Linked DNA regions of Alligator mississippiensis. The protein of the gene in region 2 binds, or shares a complex with, the protein of the main gene of each other region. Links are inferred from orthologs where the notes say so. Each region holds a gene or a part of one and is shown on either strand. Other genes may lie near its edges. The genes, in order: EME2 and MUS81.

The links.
Region 1: the proteins of MUS81 (region 2) and EME2 are in contact, whole or in part, in a crystal structure (PDB 7F6L), measured with the Homo sapiens proteins. The link is inferred for Alligator mississippiensis from reciprocal best matches to the Homo sapiens genes MUS81 and EME2. Residues at the interface, in NP_079404.3 of Homo sapiens: His330, Glu351, Phe354, Lys357, Arg358, Arg363, Val365, Glu381, Leu385, Gln386, Thr389, Asn390, Gln392, Val393, Ile394, Phe398, Lys400, Arg401, Tyr411, Leu414, Leu415, Arg417, Gly418, Leu419, Arg421, Leu422, Pro447, Ile464, Lys467, Ala468; in NP_001244299.1 of Homo sapiens: Glu140, Arg177, His179, Glu220, Glu221, Val224, Leu225, Gln227, Leu228, Trp229, Asn231, Leu232, Asp233, Leu235, Arg245, His246, Ala249, Val250, Lys252, Ala253, Leu254, Gln256, Tyr257, Lys260, Gln261, Glu264, Gln266, Phe268, Phe270, Cys271.

What each region holds. Positions count from the first base shown.
Region 1 is NC_081836.1:29,552,174-29,560,003, reverse strand, and holds the start of EME2 (probable crossover junction endonuclease EME2), read right to left. Parts: upstream 3,096-7,830; 5' UTR 3,018-3,095; coding exon 2,681-3,017; intron 1-2,680. Other genes in the region: MRPS34 (small ribosomal subunit protein mS34), read left to right, coding at 3,268-3,585, 4,107-4,149, 4,969-5,249; NME3 (nucleoside diphosphate kinase 3), read left to right, coding at 7,744-7,789. UniProt on the Homo sapiens protein: Non-catalytic subunit of the structure-specific, heterodimeric DNA endonuclease MUS81-EME2 which is involved in the maintenance of genome stability. In the complex, EME2 is required for DNA cleavage, participating in DNA recognition and bending.
Region 2 is NC_081838.1:5,437,711-5,445,043, reverse strand, and holds the start of MUS81 (crossover junction endonuclease MUS81), read right to left. Parts: upstream 3,165-7,333; 5' UTR 2,877-3,164; coding exon 2,748-2,876; intron 2,660-2,747; coding exon 2,548-2,659; intron 2,455-2,547; coding exon 2,342-2,454; intron 2,179-2,341; coding exon 2,092-2,178; intron 1,909-2,091; coding exon 1,828-1,908; intron 1,018-1,827; coding exon 935-1,017; intron 400-934; coding exon 283-399; intron 76-282; coding exon 1-75. Other genes in the region: cofilin-1, read right to left, coding at 4,116-4,228, 4,542-4,618, 5,631-5,932, 7,259-7,333. UniProt on the Homo sapiens protein: Catalytic subunit of two functionally distinct, structure-specific, heterodimeric DNA endonucleases MUS81-EME1 and MUS81-EME2 that are involved in the maintenance of genome stability.

The DNA.
Region 1 (7,830 bases), on a different chromosome or scaffold from region 2:
GCGAAACAGCATCAGGGACAGAGGTTACTAGATGGGGAACAGAGAAAAGCTGGAGGGGACATGGACAACAGAACGTCCATTAAAGCACATTCACCTACAGAACCTGGCACTGGACCATTCTCCCTGAATCTCAGCATTCTCGGGGTGGCAAATCGGCCAATTGACTGCATATTTTTTGACTGGTCAAAGCTCAGTCAAATATTATAAGGCTTTCTGTGACTATAGCAACAAGAGATTCAAGTATTGTTTACAAAATTATCTGTTGAAACTGTTTCAATTATATGGGTCAACTGTTTGATAACATATACCTACTATAGAGGACTGGGGGGGGGACACGGGCTGTGTGTAGGGGGTGCACTGCAGACTTGGGGCCCTTAATTGAACTGACCTTCAGTACATGTTTTTAATTTTATGGGCAGTGGATTTTTTTTGTAGTTTTCTTGATAGAAATATTATTTTTTAATGTTCAAGGGAAAATTTGTGCTTTTTCTGTGTTTATTTTTCTGCAAAAGATTTAATTCTGAAATAAATGTATTCCAACATTATGTAAGAAATTACTGCTTTTTAAAGTAAGTAAACAAAATATTATTTGACAATTTTTGACCAATATTTGACTGGTCAATTGACCAAATTTATTTGACTAGTCAGATACCCAACCCTACAGCATTCTTTTGCTGCCTTCAAAACAGTAGCTGTTAAACTGACAAAATGTGTCTAATTCTACCTTTAGGGACTGATCCACATAGGGGATAGCCTTCTATAGCTATCACTTACTGCATAAGGCCAAGCAGCAGAAGACTGTGCTGTGAATCTAAAGGTTGCAACACTTTGTGTTTTTTAAATACTTTAAACACAATATTTATTTAAAACCTACAGTAAAAAGTAGGTTAAGTTGTTAATTAAATGCTTAAAAAGTGGGAAATTCCAAGATTAAGCATGCAACCTTATTTAATTTCCCCTGTGCGTATATGTATTTTGATAGTTAGACAATCACACACTTTGTTTTCCCACTCCATTATGTTACAGCATGCAAAGCCTTAGTCACAAGTCATCCTACTCTTCTGAGCAGAATTATTCCCTCAATTAAGAGTTGCAGGATCAAGCTCATACAACATATAGCACCAAAGAAATACAACCCATTCTGAGGAAGAGGACAATCAGCTAAACCACATTATGTTGCAGAAGAGTGGGAGCAGAGAGCAATCTGTAAAGCTGAGGTGAGTGAAAACCCTTAATTACACCAAGATAAACTTGGAAACTGGAATGGACAAAGCTCTGGCAAGCAAAGCAAAGAACAATTCTTCATGGATGTTAAGGTGGGCAACCTGCAGCTCATTCCTACATCTATTTCTGTGAGGATAATGACTACACATTTTAAGTTAGCTGCGCTGCTAAAGAGATTATTGAACTCTTTAGATGCTAGTACAAACAGACAGCACAGTTAGAAACATTTCAGAATAACTCAGTGTTACGTCCAAGCCACGGTACAGCTCTTTAAGTGCACTGAACAGAGCTTGATCTAAGACAACATTGTGGGAAATTAGCTGAGATTATCTGAAGAACTCCATCCTGTCAGAGAAAGAGAATAGGATTGAACAGAAAATGTGCAGCCCCAGATAACTAGCCAGGCATAATATTTCAGGAGTTAACATTTCTGGACACAGCTTACCTGTCCTCAGAAATGGACCTGCATGACAGGCAATCAGCTCTGAGCCTGTTTTCTGCCCCAGCTTTTTGATAGTTCGTGCCTTATGATGCTGAATTTACCAAATAGCATGGAGTGTCCATGCCTCATGGCCTGAGACTAAATATAGTTACCGTAATCTGAGTTCACATCCCTCTTTGCTAACCAAAGCACCACGGAAGCAAAGTGTGCTGTCAATTTTGATACGTGAATTTTAAGAAGAAATGTAATCCTTGCACATTTGTCATCACTAACACACCTAAGAAAGCTACTTCCAGCAAAGCTGACATTCATGAAGAGCTGATGATTATTACTATAATCAACCAATTTACACTTTTATAACGGAGCATGGTCCCCTTCCTTGGTGCTCTCTCTCACGTATTTTAATAAATGACTCCCTGTCCTCGCAGTGGCAGGACACTGACAGTGCTCTTGTCCCACATTTTCCTGGGGCCAGTTAGAGTGACCTTCATGTTTTTTGGCATTGTCCCCGACAGCCGGCAAGTGGATGGCTTATGCAGTTTTGTTTGGAATAGGACACATGCATAGGATGGTTTATGTAAGGATAACCTGGTCTTGAGCAGGACTAGGTGACCTCTGGAGGTCCCTTCCAACCATTTTCTAGGATTCTATAACATCTGCCAACTGATCACTTCCAAGTGCTTTCTACACGTTAATTAACCCCTTCCAGGCACATGCATGATGAAAAAAGTCCGACTTTTCCCCACTGACGCAGGGAGAGGCTCGAGCTCAGAGGAGCCCAAGTCCTTAGCGTCTGTGGCTGATCGGATTTGCCAACCGTAAAGGAATTTGGGACCGTCACCAGGGCAAGCACCTGCTCTTCAGCCCGAGCCCACGGCAGCCAGGAGCGCGCCTCGCCAAGGGGCGGCCACGAGGCCAGACGCCAGGACACGGAGCCGGGAGCGGGGCCCGGGGAAGGGCCCAGGGCCGCTGGCAGGTGGTCGAGGTGCCGAGGCGCTGCTCCCCGGGGCCCACCTGGGTGCACGCACACGGCCACGTACTTCAGACACTGCTCGGGCCGCAGGGCCTGGGCCGCCTCCCGGCGCTGCCGCTTCTCCAGCGCGTCCTGCGCCTTCTTCCGCGCCCTGTCCGCCCTCTGCTGCTCCCTGCCGAGCCCCGCTGCCCCAACCCCGACCCCAAGGCTCCTCGTCCTCCGCTGCCTGCTACGGCTCGGGCAGGGCGCGGGGTCCCGCGGGGGCGTCGGCACACGGAGGGACCCGCCCCCGCCCGGCGGCTCCTCGCTGTCCGAGTCCGAGATCTCCCAGGCGGCGGCAGCTCGTCTGGCTGCCCCGGCCGACCCGTGCCCCGCCATGGCCTCCCACGGCCGCCGGGACCCGAGCGCGGATCCCCCACTTCCACCCGGCGCAGCTGCTCATCCGCCCCGCGTGCACGTCCCGCCCCCACTTCCGCCCGGCGAGGCTGCCGCGCAGCCCCGCCCCGCCCCGCCCCGCGCCGAGCATGCGCCGCGAGCTGTCCGCGAAGCACTAGTTTCCTGTGACCTCCGGTAGTGGTGCTGCCGCCGCCAGAGCTGCTCCGCGCGTGGCCGGGCCGCCGCCGCTGCCATGGGCCGCAGGAAGCTGCACCGGCCGATCGCGGCCATGGCCAAGAAGATCCGCGAATACCGGGCGCTGAAGAACCGGCCGCACGACTCGCAGCGCTTCTCCCTGGACTATGAGACCATGACGCGGCCGTTCACCGGGAAGCGCCTGCCCGTGCTGGCCTGGGAGGACGTGCGCAACGAGACCCGCCTCTTCGCGCTGCTCGCCCGCCTGCCCTTCTTCGGCATCGGCCGCGTGGTCACGCGCAAGTCCTGGCTGTGGCAGTACGAAGAGCCCTGCTACTGGCTCATCACCAAGACCCAAGTGGATTACACGGCCGAGGTGAGTCCTCTCCCGGGCCACTCGTCGGTCCCGTGGGATCGCCTCGGCCGCTGCAGGATCTGGCTCCCAAATCCCCGCGGCACTAAGTCGGGGCCTTTCGGGTTTGGCTGCGCGTCATGTTGTCTCCCAGGGAGTCCTGCGCGCTGGAGAAGGCACCGCGGGGACCCTTGCCCTGGGAGCAGTGCCTGGCTGCAGCAGCGGGGCCCACCGGGTGCCGCCTGCCCTGCTCTTCAGAGCAGTGATTGTGGCACCTGGAACATGGATTGTAAAACAGATCCTGCAAACGCTGCTGCACTGTCTAGACCACTGTAAAATGAGCCTCTAAATGAGAGGCACAGAGCGATTTGGTCCCGGTGTGAGAATAGCACCTTAACAGGTGCTCAGGTTGCAGGCCTCGCCTCTCCCAAAGCAGGCTGCGCTCCTGCATTAGATGATGAAGCTGTTTAGAGAACTTGTCCTCTTTGTGAGTGGGAAGGCTTCTTTACCTAATCGCAGTGAATTCTCATGTGTTTTCTTTGCAGAATTTGGATCACGGAAAAGCCTGGGGATACCTGACATTCAGAGGTAATGAAGAACTTGCCCTATGTCTCTCAAGCAAGATTAGAGAGCATATTTCTGCCCCAAACCAGGGAATAAACCAGAAAGGAGAAAAGACAGTTGTGCTCTTACAACTCCTCACTCTCTCCTTCTCAGCCCACTAATTGGACAAAGGAAGAAAATCCCTCTGGCATGATTTTACAAGGAAGTGCAATAATTTATGTAATTTCAAGATAGTCTGGAAAAAGCCACAGAGATTGTACCATAGTGAACAATGTCCTGCTGGCAGGGAAATGGATGACTTCACAATTGGTTCTTTTCCGTCTTTGAATTTTATCATAGCTAATTTCAGTAGATAAACACATTTGATGTTTCTGCTCAGATGGATAGCAGTGTTATTTGCAGTATCATCACTGGGGTACCGAAGTAATATTTCATTGTGATCAATGGGGAAATTCTCTTCTCTCCATGCTCTTTTAAATCATGTATGGAGTGCATCTTTTATCAGTTAAGCTTGTGCTTCAATACTGTCGCATTGTTCATTTGAGGGTCTCACAATGTTTCTCTTAAACATTATTAAACTCCCCAACATTTCTGCAGAGTGGAGAAGTTGAGGAGCTAGATGTCCGAGGAAGTCACCTGCAAAGTCAGGACTGCAACATGGTTGCCCTGTCAGTTAGTTCCCCTTGCTTCTTGTTTATACCACCCGGAATGAGAGGAGAGTATGCTAGTGGTAGATATAGTGTAAGTGGCAAAATACCCAATGCCATTCCCAGCTGGAGACTCCTCTACATGCTTATATAGTTTGACGGTGTTAATTACTAATTCATTATTATCTTCCCTCAGGCAAGACAGAAAATGAAGTAAAAGAGATTGATAAGGTCATGTACCATGACTGGCGTTTGGTGCCCAAACATGAGGAAGAGGACTTCAAGAAATTTACCCCGGTGCCAGAGGAAACCATCCGGTATGTGCCGTATCCACCTCTGCTCCGAGCCATGATCTTTGCTCAGAGGCAGAAGGAAGGAAAACCGAACACGGAGGAGCCGATGCTTGATCTGGAAAGAGGGATCTCCAGAACAGACTCCATTGAAAATGTCAAGAGAACTGAAGGGACACCAGTGTGAAGGTAGTGTTGAGTATGGTGCCCCCTAGGTCTCTTAATCGCCAACTGATCTCCTTAATGAAGAAAATGATTCCATAAGCCACAGGCATGTTTCAGGTTTATCCAGTGTTATCACCTCAGTTTCTCTTCCTATTCCTGGCACATGCCAGTGTACACATTTCTTACATGTATTTGGAAAGATGCAGACATGCTTAGGATTCTTGGTAATCTCTGTAGAGCATCTTCTCTGTTTTTCTCTGCATTTGTTTTACAGCTCCTATCCTCTGGGCCCTATGACTGGGCAAAATTCCCTTTAGAGCCCACTTCTGAGAATTAAAAAAGGACACTGTCAAGTTGATTAGATCCCCAAACCAATGTAAAAGCACAGACAAGGGCCTATAAGAAGTCACCATCTTGCTCCACAGAGTGTGCTCCTGCATGTATGAGTCTTCCCATCTGATTTTTCCTGCAGCACAGACATGATGTTGGCTACAAATGTTCAACTCAGGATCCTTAAAATTCTGGTTCATTAGGCAGATTGAAACACTGTAATGAAGTCAAATCATAACCTTGGGGCTGGTCTCCTCTCACACACACACACTAGTGCGCTACAAATGTTTGTTGTGGGGGGCACCAGAGTTGGGTATACCTATCCTACAAAGCGCTGGAGTCTGCTATCGATGGCCAGTCAAGGCTTCTTGCAGCGTGGTGTTATCCTCCAGAAGGGGGTCGCCAGCTGGTCCTTCTGCCTGGACAGGTTGGGTGCTGGACGAGTTGGAGATCAAGAGGGTGCCCCTGAGGGTCACTTTTCACTGCTTTTTATCTGTCCTTGGCAGACTTTGGTGACTCCCCAGTTTTCAGGTTTGCCCAATTCAGGGGTTGTTGACCCTCGTGGGACTTCCCCTCCCCAGTGACTACTGGATGGCACCTGTCAGCCCCAGGGGTCTTCCGCATGTACGTGCAGGTTTGGGAGTCCGTTGATGAATTTTGATTAATTTACCGCTGTCATAAATAGGGCTCTGGGAGCAGTCGATCTGGAGATATTCAGCCCCAAAAGTTGGTCCCCGGTGTCGATTAACTCAGACGGGGCTTCTAGCCCTTGAACAGTGAAGTTTAGATAATTCCTGTTTGCTACACTGTCTCCTATTGATTTCTTCTGTTGCTTGATCTGGGGTGTAGGTATTAATTACCACTTGTTACTGAAGCCTGCTACAGAGTTACGCATTCAATCACTGATTCACTTGTTCTTTCAGGGGCCCTGCCTGATACAGGGAAGCCCAGGTTTGATTCCTGCCCTTGTTAACATTGTTACAGTGTATAACTTACTTCTAAAAACTAAAACACATTTAATTAAAAGGTGAAGAGTATAAAATATAAGCTATGAGAGTAATGCCATGGCAAACAAATAGATAAAAATACCAAAATACAAGGGGAGATATAAAATGCACACATACAAACTTTAAAACACAATTCTTTATCTTATAGTGAAAGAAAGAGGAAGGAAAAAGAGGTAGAAGAGGAGAAACATATCCAAAGAGGGGAAAGCAAATGCAGGCAAGAGGAAAAGGGGGCTTTCTGCTACAATGAGAAAACAAGTTTGGTTCTCTTTTGGCTTGTTAGTCAGACCATCAAAACGGTTAAACTAAGTGCGAGCTGCAAAAGGTAGTCTCACCAGCTGAGGGCACTGCTTCAGTTGCATCTCTGTCAAACCCACTGGGTCACCCTATGATGGGGATGGGCAAGAAGGAAGGATCCCACTTGGTCTTTCAGATCCCAGGCTGTGTTGGTATTTGGCGGGGGAGGAGGGGAGACCTCTTTGTGTTAACAGAATATAAGTGTATTTGCTCTTATTCCTGCGGAAGTCATTGCCAAAGAGTCATGAGAGGACTTTTGTCACGTGGGCCTGTGAAAAGCAAAAGTGTGTCAGTGAGTCCTCACCCCTTGGGCTGTGCCACTGTCCCCTCCCTGGCACCTCAGCCACAATCATGGTGCTCAGCATGGACGAGGGAGGGTGAGGGGTAGGTTCAAGTGAGCTGAGATGTGCAGGGCCCTGGTCACTCCCCACAATAACTAAGGTGACCCAAAGAACAGCAGTCCCAGGCCATGACTCGGTTTCCCTGCTGAGCTGGCCAGGAGCTGCTTACCTCGGAGGTGGCGGCAGCACACAGACATCTGGACCTGGATGGACGGTATAAAAAGCCTCCAGGGAGGGTCCGGGCCCTGGCGGGGGAGCTGTGCGCAGCTCGGGCCCACGTCTCTGCCTCACCCTGGCGGGAGCCGGGAACTTACCTCGAGCCATGAGGGAGCTGGCTTGTGAGGGCGGGGCCCGAGGCCCCCCTGCCCGCCCCTGCTGGGTGCCGCGCCCCGCCGCTGCAGCTTGCCTTGATCCCGCGGGGCGTCCCTGGCAGCGGAGCCCGGGGCGGGGCGGGGCGGGACCGCCATAATGCGGCGGCTGCTCTGTTACGAGGGAGACGTTTGCGCGCGCTCCGCTGCCTGCGCCCCGGCCGCCTCCCGCCATGATCTGCCTCGTGCTGGCGCTGTTCGCCCACGTCTTCCAGCCCGGTGAGTGCGGCGCGGCGCGGCCCGGCTGCGGGAGCGCGGGG
Region 2 (7,333 bases):
ACGCAGAGGACAATGTCAAACTCCCCAGGGCGCAGGATGATCTCGGGGGCCGGCTCCCCTGGGGCCTCCGTCAGGCTGGGGGGAGAAGGGGGTGAGGGGTGGGTAGTGACACGGGCTGCAGAACCCAGGCACCCGAGGCGCCCAGTGTCCTATGATCTAACCCCCAACCCCACTCCCTTCCCGCAGCTGGGAGAACCCAGGAGTTCGGGCCCCCGGCTCGCCCCATCATGCTCTGGGGGGGAGCTGGAGGGACCTCAGGCGTCCAGGCACAGCTGCACTCACCAGACGGGCTCTGGGGGTTGGTTCTCCTCCTCATCCTCGGAGTCCAGGGGGGTCTGGGTCTCAGGGCCCCCCACCAGCCTCTGGGCCAGCTCCAGCCCCTGGGGGGTCAGTGAGTACCTGGGAGGGGATGAGGCCAGTCTAGTCCCACAGTCCCATGATCCCCAGATTCACACCCCAGTCCCCCCAGCATCCCATAATCCTCTGCAGAGTCCCCCAACCCACTGGGACCCCCACAGGCACATAATCCCCGGAAGCTCCCCCTCCTGGCCCTATTGTGAGCCCAAGCATCCCACAACCCCCTGCAAATCGCCCCCACCCCCCAACCAAGCACATCAGGATCCCCAGAGTCCCATAATACTCTGGGGCACCCAGTCCAACTCCACCCTGACCTGCAGTGTCCCATAATCCTTTGTGGACTCTCCCAACTTGCCAGTGACCCCCAGCATCCCATAATCCTCTGCAGACCACGCCCCCCCATCCTAGGCCACTGGGACAGCCATCATCCCACTGTTCTTGGGATACCTCCCCTTCCTGGTCCCCCCCCCCCGCCTAATCCTATACCACTAATGTCCCGTAATGTCCTGCCAGTGTCCCATAAATCCTGTCCCCAATCCCCCAGTGTCCCACAATCCCCTGGGCTCCTGGCACCCACCTGGGTGGCACACCAGCCTTGAGGACGAGGTTGCGGCGGATGAGGGTGCTCACAGTTGCCCAAGCCCCACTCCGGCCCCCGGTCTGCAACACAAACCCCATGATACCCCAGAGGTCTGGTGGGGTCCAGGGCTAGGGGCAGAGACGCAGGGACCACGACTGCTCAGGCCTGGCAGTGAGCGATGTCGTAATGACTCTGGAAGCTAATGAAGGCAGACCGGCCTGGTGGGGGAGCCCCTGTGGGGGTGGGGCCAGGATTGCAGGGCGGGGGGAGGGCAGGGCTGCAGCGACCCCCATTTGCTGGCCATGAGAGATTTGGGCATGTTGACTCTGGAAACTAATGAAGCAACATAGTTTGAGGAAGTGAGGGAGGCCCCCTGAGCCTGCGGGGCTGGGCTGGGGCAAGTCAGAGGTGCAGGTGGGGGCAGGGCTATGGGGGGTTCCCTCGGTGCAAGTCCCAGTGATCATGTGTGAACTCTGAAGCCTAATAACAGGTGACTGATTTTAAGGGAGAAAAGGGAGCACTCCAGAGCCTGTGCGGCTTGGGATGCCCGGGTGGGTCCTTGAGGTAGTCGCAGGTACAGGGCGTTAACTTAACTCTGGGACCTAACAGTGCCAGCTAGCATTGAGAGGCGGGTAGGAGCCACGCAGAGCCTGTGCAGTTCAGAGCAGTGCAGGTGCGGTGGGCGGAGGGGAAGGGCACGGCTGGGGCCCCTGAAGTGCCGGCGGTGGTTTTAAGCCTAGTGATGACAGACTGGGCCAGAGCCTGGGATGCCACAGGGGGCTGGGAGAGGGGGGAGTGGAGAAGCACCAGGTAGACGGCGGACGTGGAGTCTGGAGTCTAATGGTGGCAACAGAAGGGGGATTCGAGGGAGGACCGAGGGCTGCACTCACCGGAGCCAAGGGCTGGTCGCACAGCGGCTGGGCCGCCCGCTGCAGCTCCGCCTTCGTCAGGGCCCCGCGCCCGCCCGGGGTCTGTGGGGCACAATGGGGGGGGCCAGGAGTCCAGGCTCCCCTCCCTGAGAACCCAGGCATCGGGGCTCCCAGCCCCCCTGCATCCCCCTCCCCTCCCAGGGGTCCAGGATCCCAGCCCCGTCCCACCCCGGGGAACCCAAATGTGCAGGCCCCCTGCCACCCCTCCAGGCACCCCGCGCATACCTGCCTCTCCTTGTACAGCGCCAGCAGCAAGGCATGTCCCCCGGAGCGGGGGCCCGGGAGGTACCCCCGGGGGGCGCGTGGCCGCTTCTAGGCAGGGGGGCGGGGCACAGCCAGGAGTCAGCCCCACCCCTCTGGGCTCAGGCCCCGCCCACAGACACGCCCCCACAGGGGGAAGGAAGCCGACCCGCGTGTCCGCACCCCCCGAGGTGCAGCTCCCCGCCCCCACCCCCGCTGGAAGGAGACCACTCACCTGCGGGGGGGGCGGCGGGGGGTCCCCAGCACTGGTGGGGGGGGCGGGGCCCTGCGGCTCCGGGACGGGAGGGGGGGCGGGGCCCTCCGCGGCCTCCATGGGGGCGTCCTCACCTGCGGCGGGAGGGGATGAGGGGGGCGAACCGCCTGGCCCCGCCCCCTCTCCTGTGCCCGCCCCCCGCCCCCCGCCCGTGCTGCCCCCCGTACCGCGCAGGTGCTGGTCGAGGCGGCGGCAGAGCCCGGGCCCGAAGTGCTGCAGGATCGAGGCCTCCCGGCCGCTGCGCAGGGGCAGGGGGTAGCGGCGCAGCGACACCAGCGCCTGGGGGCGGGGCGGAGCGGGCGGGGTCAGCCCGGACGCCTGGATCCCCCCCGGCGCCCCGGGCCCCCGCCCGCCCCGCTCCGCTCACCCGCTCGTAAGCGAAGCGCGCCTTGCTGCCCCGCGCCGCCGCCTCGTCCCGCCACGCCCGCAGGCAGCGCTCCAGCGCCGCGTTGGGCCGCGCCGGCACCGGCCGCTTCCTGCCCAGCCGCGCCGCCATCGCCCGCCCCGGTGGGGGGCGCCCGCCCGCCCTGAACCGGAAGCGGCCGCCGCGCTCTTCCGGGCTCGGACCATAGAGACGAGGCGGGCGGGGAGAGTGTCGCCAGCCCCGTCTCTCCTCCCCCCGCAACCCGGCTCATTCATGTTCATGGACCCTCATTCACATTCATGAGGGCGGGGGGCGCGCCAGCTCCAGGGGCGCGGCTGCATGGCTGGGCCCTGCCTCTGTCCCCCCCGGGCACCTGGGATCTTCGGGGTGGGGGTCCCGGGCCAGGGCCACTCAGACCCCATGCTGCCCTCCCCCCTGGACACCCGGGGTCTCCTCCCCCCTCCATGCACCCAGCCCCGTGTTTATACCCCTCCAGGTGCATACCACCCCCCCCATCCCCTCCAAGAAGCACACGGGCCGGTAGCAGTACAGGGGTTTATTAGGGCACAGGGGGAGCCAAGGGGGCCACGTTCCCCCTCCCCCAGCAGGGGACAGGCAGGAAGCCACGACACCACCGACGCTTGGCAGTGGGGGGCAGGGATAAAATCCTTCCAAAAAACCATTAAAAAAGGGGATTCACACACACCAGAAACAGCAACTTTGGAGGGGGCGGGGGTGCTAGACAATGGGGGGGGGCGGGGCGCCTAGGACCAGCCCGGACTCCTGGGGGCTCTAGCTGAGCAGGGGAGGGAGGAGCTGGTCCCTGGAGTGCAGGGGGGGGGGGGGGGGGGAAAACACTCCCCTGCACTAGGGGAAGGGGTCCCTGTTGTGGGGAGGGGGGGGGGGGGGGCACAGCTCTGTCAGGCTGGGACAGGGAGGCAGGACCCCTCCCCCCAGAGCCTAGGACAGAGTAGCCTGGACCCAATTCAGTCCCAGGCTGTAATGGGGGCTTGGGGGCAGAAGTACCCCTATCCCCTGGCTGGAACTACTCCACCCTAGGCTGCAGGGGGAGGGGAGTAAGTTAGGGTGGGAAAAGGGGCTGGAAGGGGGCTAGGATAGGCAGGACTGCTGGGTTCACCAGCTTGGGGGGGGGGGAGGAATGTGAAGTAGACAGAGCTGAGGGCTGGTCCCTTGACACTAGAGTAGCTGGGAGGAAACCCCACCTGGGACAGATAGGGGGAAGGGGGGGCACTTGAGGGGTTTGGCAAAGGCCCCGCCCCTGCAGAGAGAGACTGGGAGTCGGACACAGCAGGAGCAGCCCTTCCCCCCAGCGGGAAGGGCCAGACTGGTGGTGGGGCAGGGCATGGGGGCTCACACAGGCTTCCCCTCCAAGCTGACGACAGAGCTGCCCCCCAACTTCTCGGCCAGCGTGCACCGGTCCTTCACCTCCTCGAAGGAGTTGGCCTGCAGCTCGTGCTTGATGCCTGCGTAGGAGGTGAGGGGGAAAACGGGGAAGTGAGGGAGCCCAGGTATCCAGGCTCCTCATGCTCCCTGGCACCACTCCCCTGTTAGATCTGGGGGGAAAAGAACCCGGCATCTGGGCTGCCAGTGCCCCTGCTCTCACCCCCCAGCCCTCCCTCCCCACCCCTCTCAACCCCCACTCCTCTCCCAGAGGACCCAGGCATGCACACCCCCCACAAAGAACCCAGGTGTCTAGGCTCCCAGTCCCCTTGCTCCAACCAGCTCTACCCCCCACCCCAAGACTACCTGCCCCTCCCCCCACTCCCTCCAACTCACCTGTCAGCTTCTTCTTGATGGCATCCTTGGAGCTGGCATAGATCATTTTGCTCTTCAAGGGGGCACACTCAGGAGCCCTGCCACAAAGGAGAGGGGGGGGAAAAAAAAGAGGGGTCACACCAGCCTGGACACTTGGGTTCCCTCCCCAAATACCTGCTGGGTCCCCCAGGGATGAGACCTACAGCCCCTCCCCCCCCCCAATCCCATCCCAGGAAGCCCCTTTAAACCACCCCCCTACCCTGGCACTGGGGGTGTGGCTAGTTGTGCAAGACTATGTCCCTCACCTGATGGAAGGGGTAGGACCCCAAGGAATGGGTGGGGCCTGCAGGTTACACTGGGGGCCACTTGGAGACAGTGCACCAGGGGCAAGAGGGGCCTTACATGGTGGAATAGACCCAGCGCACCCCTCCGAAAGTAGCTGGCAGAGGAATCTCAGGGGTACCAGGGCTGGACAGGCCAGGGCTACATGGGGCACTTCTAGGTGGCCCCTACCAAGAGATGAGGGGGCTGAGGGCCCCCCCCCCCTCAGTGTGGGGGGCAGACAATAAACAGGTCTTCTGTGTGGGGGAGGGGGCATGGTTTAGGTGGGGTGTCACCTCCCTTGATGAAGGCCAAGCTCTCCCAGCTCCTGGGCAGGGGAGCTGTGATGGTTAAGGGGGGGGGGCCTGGAAATCTCACCCCTAAACATAACCAAGGTCTCCTCCTAGCTGTGGAAACCAGGCTTTAGGAGGTGGGGGGGCATGGGGACCCAGCTCAGCAGAAGATGAAGCCTAGGCCATCCTCCTTGCTGGGGCAGGAGACTTATAGGGGACAGCATGGTCACCCCAAAAGATGAAGACCAAGCCCTCCACATTGTGGCCAGCTGGCCTGGGGGGTTATGTCAGGCTGTAGAGGGCTATAGGGATGCTGGGGGTGGGGGACACCCTCTCATCAGGTCCTCCACGCTGTGGTGTTTTGGTTGGGATGAAGACATTGAAGACTAGGTCTTGGTCTGGCTGTGGGGGCTGCTGTAGGGGCTGTGGGGCCCCCCAGAAGATGACAACAAAGCTTATAGGGGCCCACAGGAAGTCCCCAGGAGCATCATCTCACCAGAAGATGAAGACCAGGTCCTCCTTCTTGGTCTCACGGGTCTCGTAGGTGGCATCGTAGAGAGCATAGCGGCAGTCACGCTCAGGCAGCAGGGCCACGAAGGCAGCATAGGGGTCGGGGACTGCGTCGCCCACAAGCACCTCTTTGCCAGGCTCCAGCACGATGGCGCGCTGGTCCTCGCTCAGGCAGAAGAGCACAGCCTTCTTGCGCTGGCTCAGCTCGGCCGGCCCCGGTGATGCTTTGCGCACCTTCATCTCATTGAACACCTTGATCACCCCATCCGACACTGCCACACCGGATGCCTGGGGGGTGGGGATGCACATGAGTCAGAGGGTGCAGGGCCCCCCCCGCTCACACTGCCACACCTGGCACCCTGGGGGCAACGGGAAACCACCCCACCATCTGACATCACTATACCCAATGCCTGGAGCACTGGCATCCACCCCCTGGGTACCACACTGTCATGTCTGACACCTGGGGTGGGGGCACAGGGACCCCTCCCCCCACATCTGATAGAACAGGCCTAATTCCTGGGGGTGGGACAAGGGGTGCATGCTCCCCCAGCCAACCCCAGTTCAGGGGGTGCACTGGAAATCTCCCCTAGGGGGCAGAGGGTAAGAGGAAGGTCCCTTCCAGCCCTCAGTACCAGGCCGGACCCTTGGGGGGTGCCCTCTGCCCCTATGGCTCTGCCTGCATTTGGCCACGCCCCCCCAGTAGAGCAGAGCAATATGGGGAGGGGGCAGGGACCTGCTCCAGTAGCTTAGGTGGGGGGGGGGGCAGGATGTGGGGAACACGTCCCCCCACCCCAAGGGCACATGGGGCAATGCCGACGCCACATTTTGAGCAAGGAGGAAGTGGAAGCCTGCACCGGAAACCCGGGCACATGGCCCTGCCCCTAGCACAGACCCCCCTGCCCCAGCACTGCTCTCTTCCACCTGCACCCTGCCCAACCTTCCTCCTCCCAGTACCTGCCGCCAGGACTAGCCCCTGACCCCTCCCAGCTCTGCTCCTCCCTCCCCAAAAGGCAGCTGATGCCCCCCCATGGCCCTATTCACAAGCCAGTGAACACCCAAGCTTCATGATCTGACCCCACATGGGTGGGGGGGGGGGAAAGGAAAGCAGGTGCTGCTGTAGCTGAGGACACCCCCCTGCCCCCTCCCAGGAGTCTGGCCCCACCCCCACAGGGTGCCCCAAGATGTGGGGTACACCTGGGCACAGCCCCCACATGGGGGAGGGGGGGGGATCAGCATGGGGGGCACTAACATGGCAGCAGGGCCCAGCACTCCCACAGAGGTATCCAGCAGCCCCCAGCCCCATCACTGGGCGGCGTGGAAGGGAGCCTGCCCCCACCCCCCAAAGGGGAGCTGGTCCCCACAGCTAGAGGGGAGAAGGGGCTGAAGCCCCCGACAAGCTATACCCTGCATGGGGTGGGGGGCAGGAGGTTGGGGTACCCCACTACCCTATGGGGGCCCCTGTATGGCCCTGCCAGACCCACAGGGAAGGGGGACCAGAAGTGACCCCCTGCTGAAGGCGCCACCAGGAAAAGGCACCGGAAATGCCCCCCGACAGACGCCCCCGAGGGAGGAAGGGACCGGAAGCGGCCCCCAAGGCGCCGCGCGGGCTCTCACCATGATGAGAACGCAGCTACTGTTACCGCTATCACCGTCGAGTGCCTCACTCCGCCGCCGCTTCCGCTTTATATG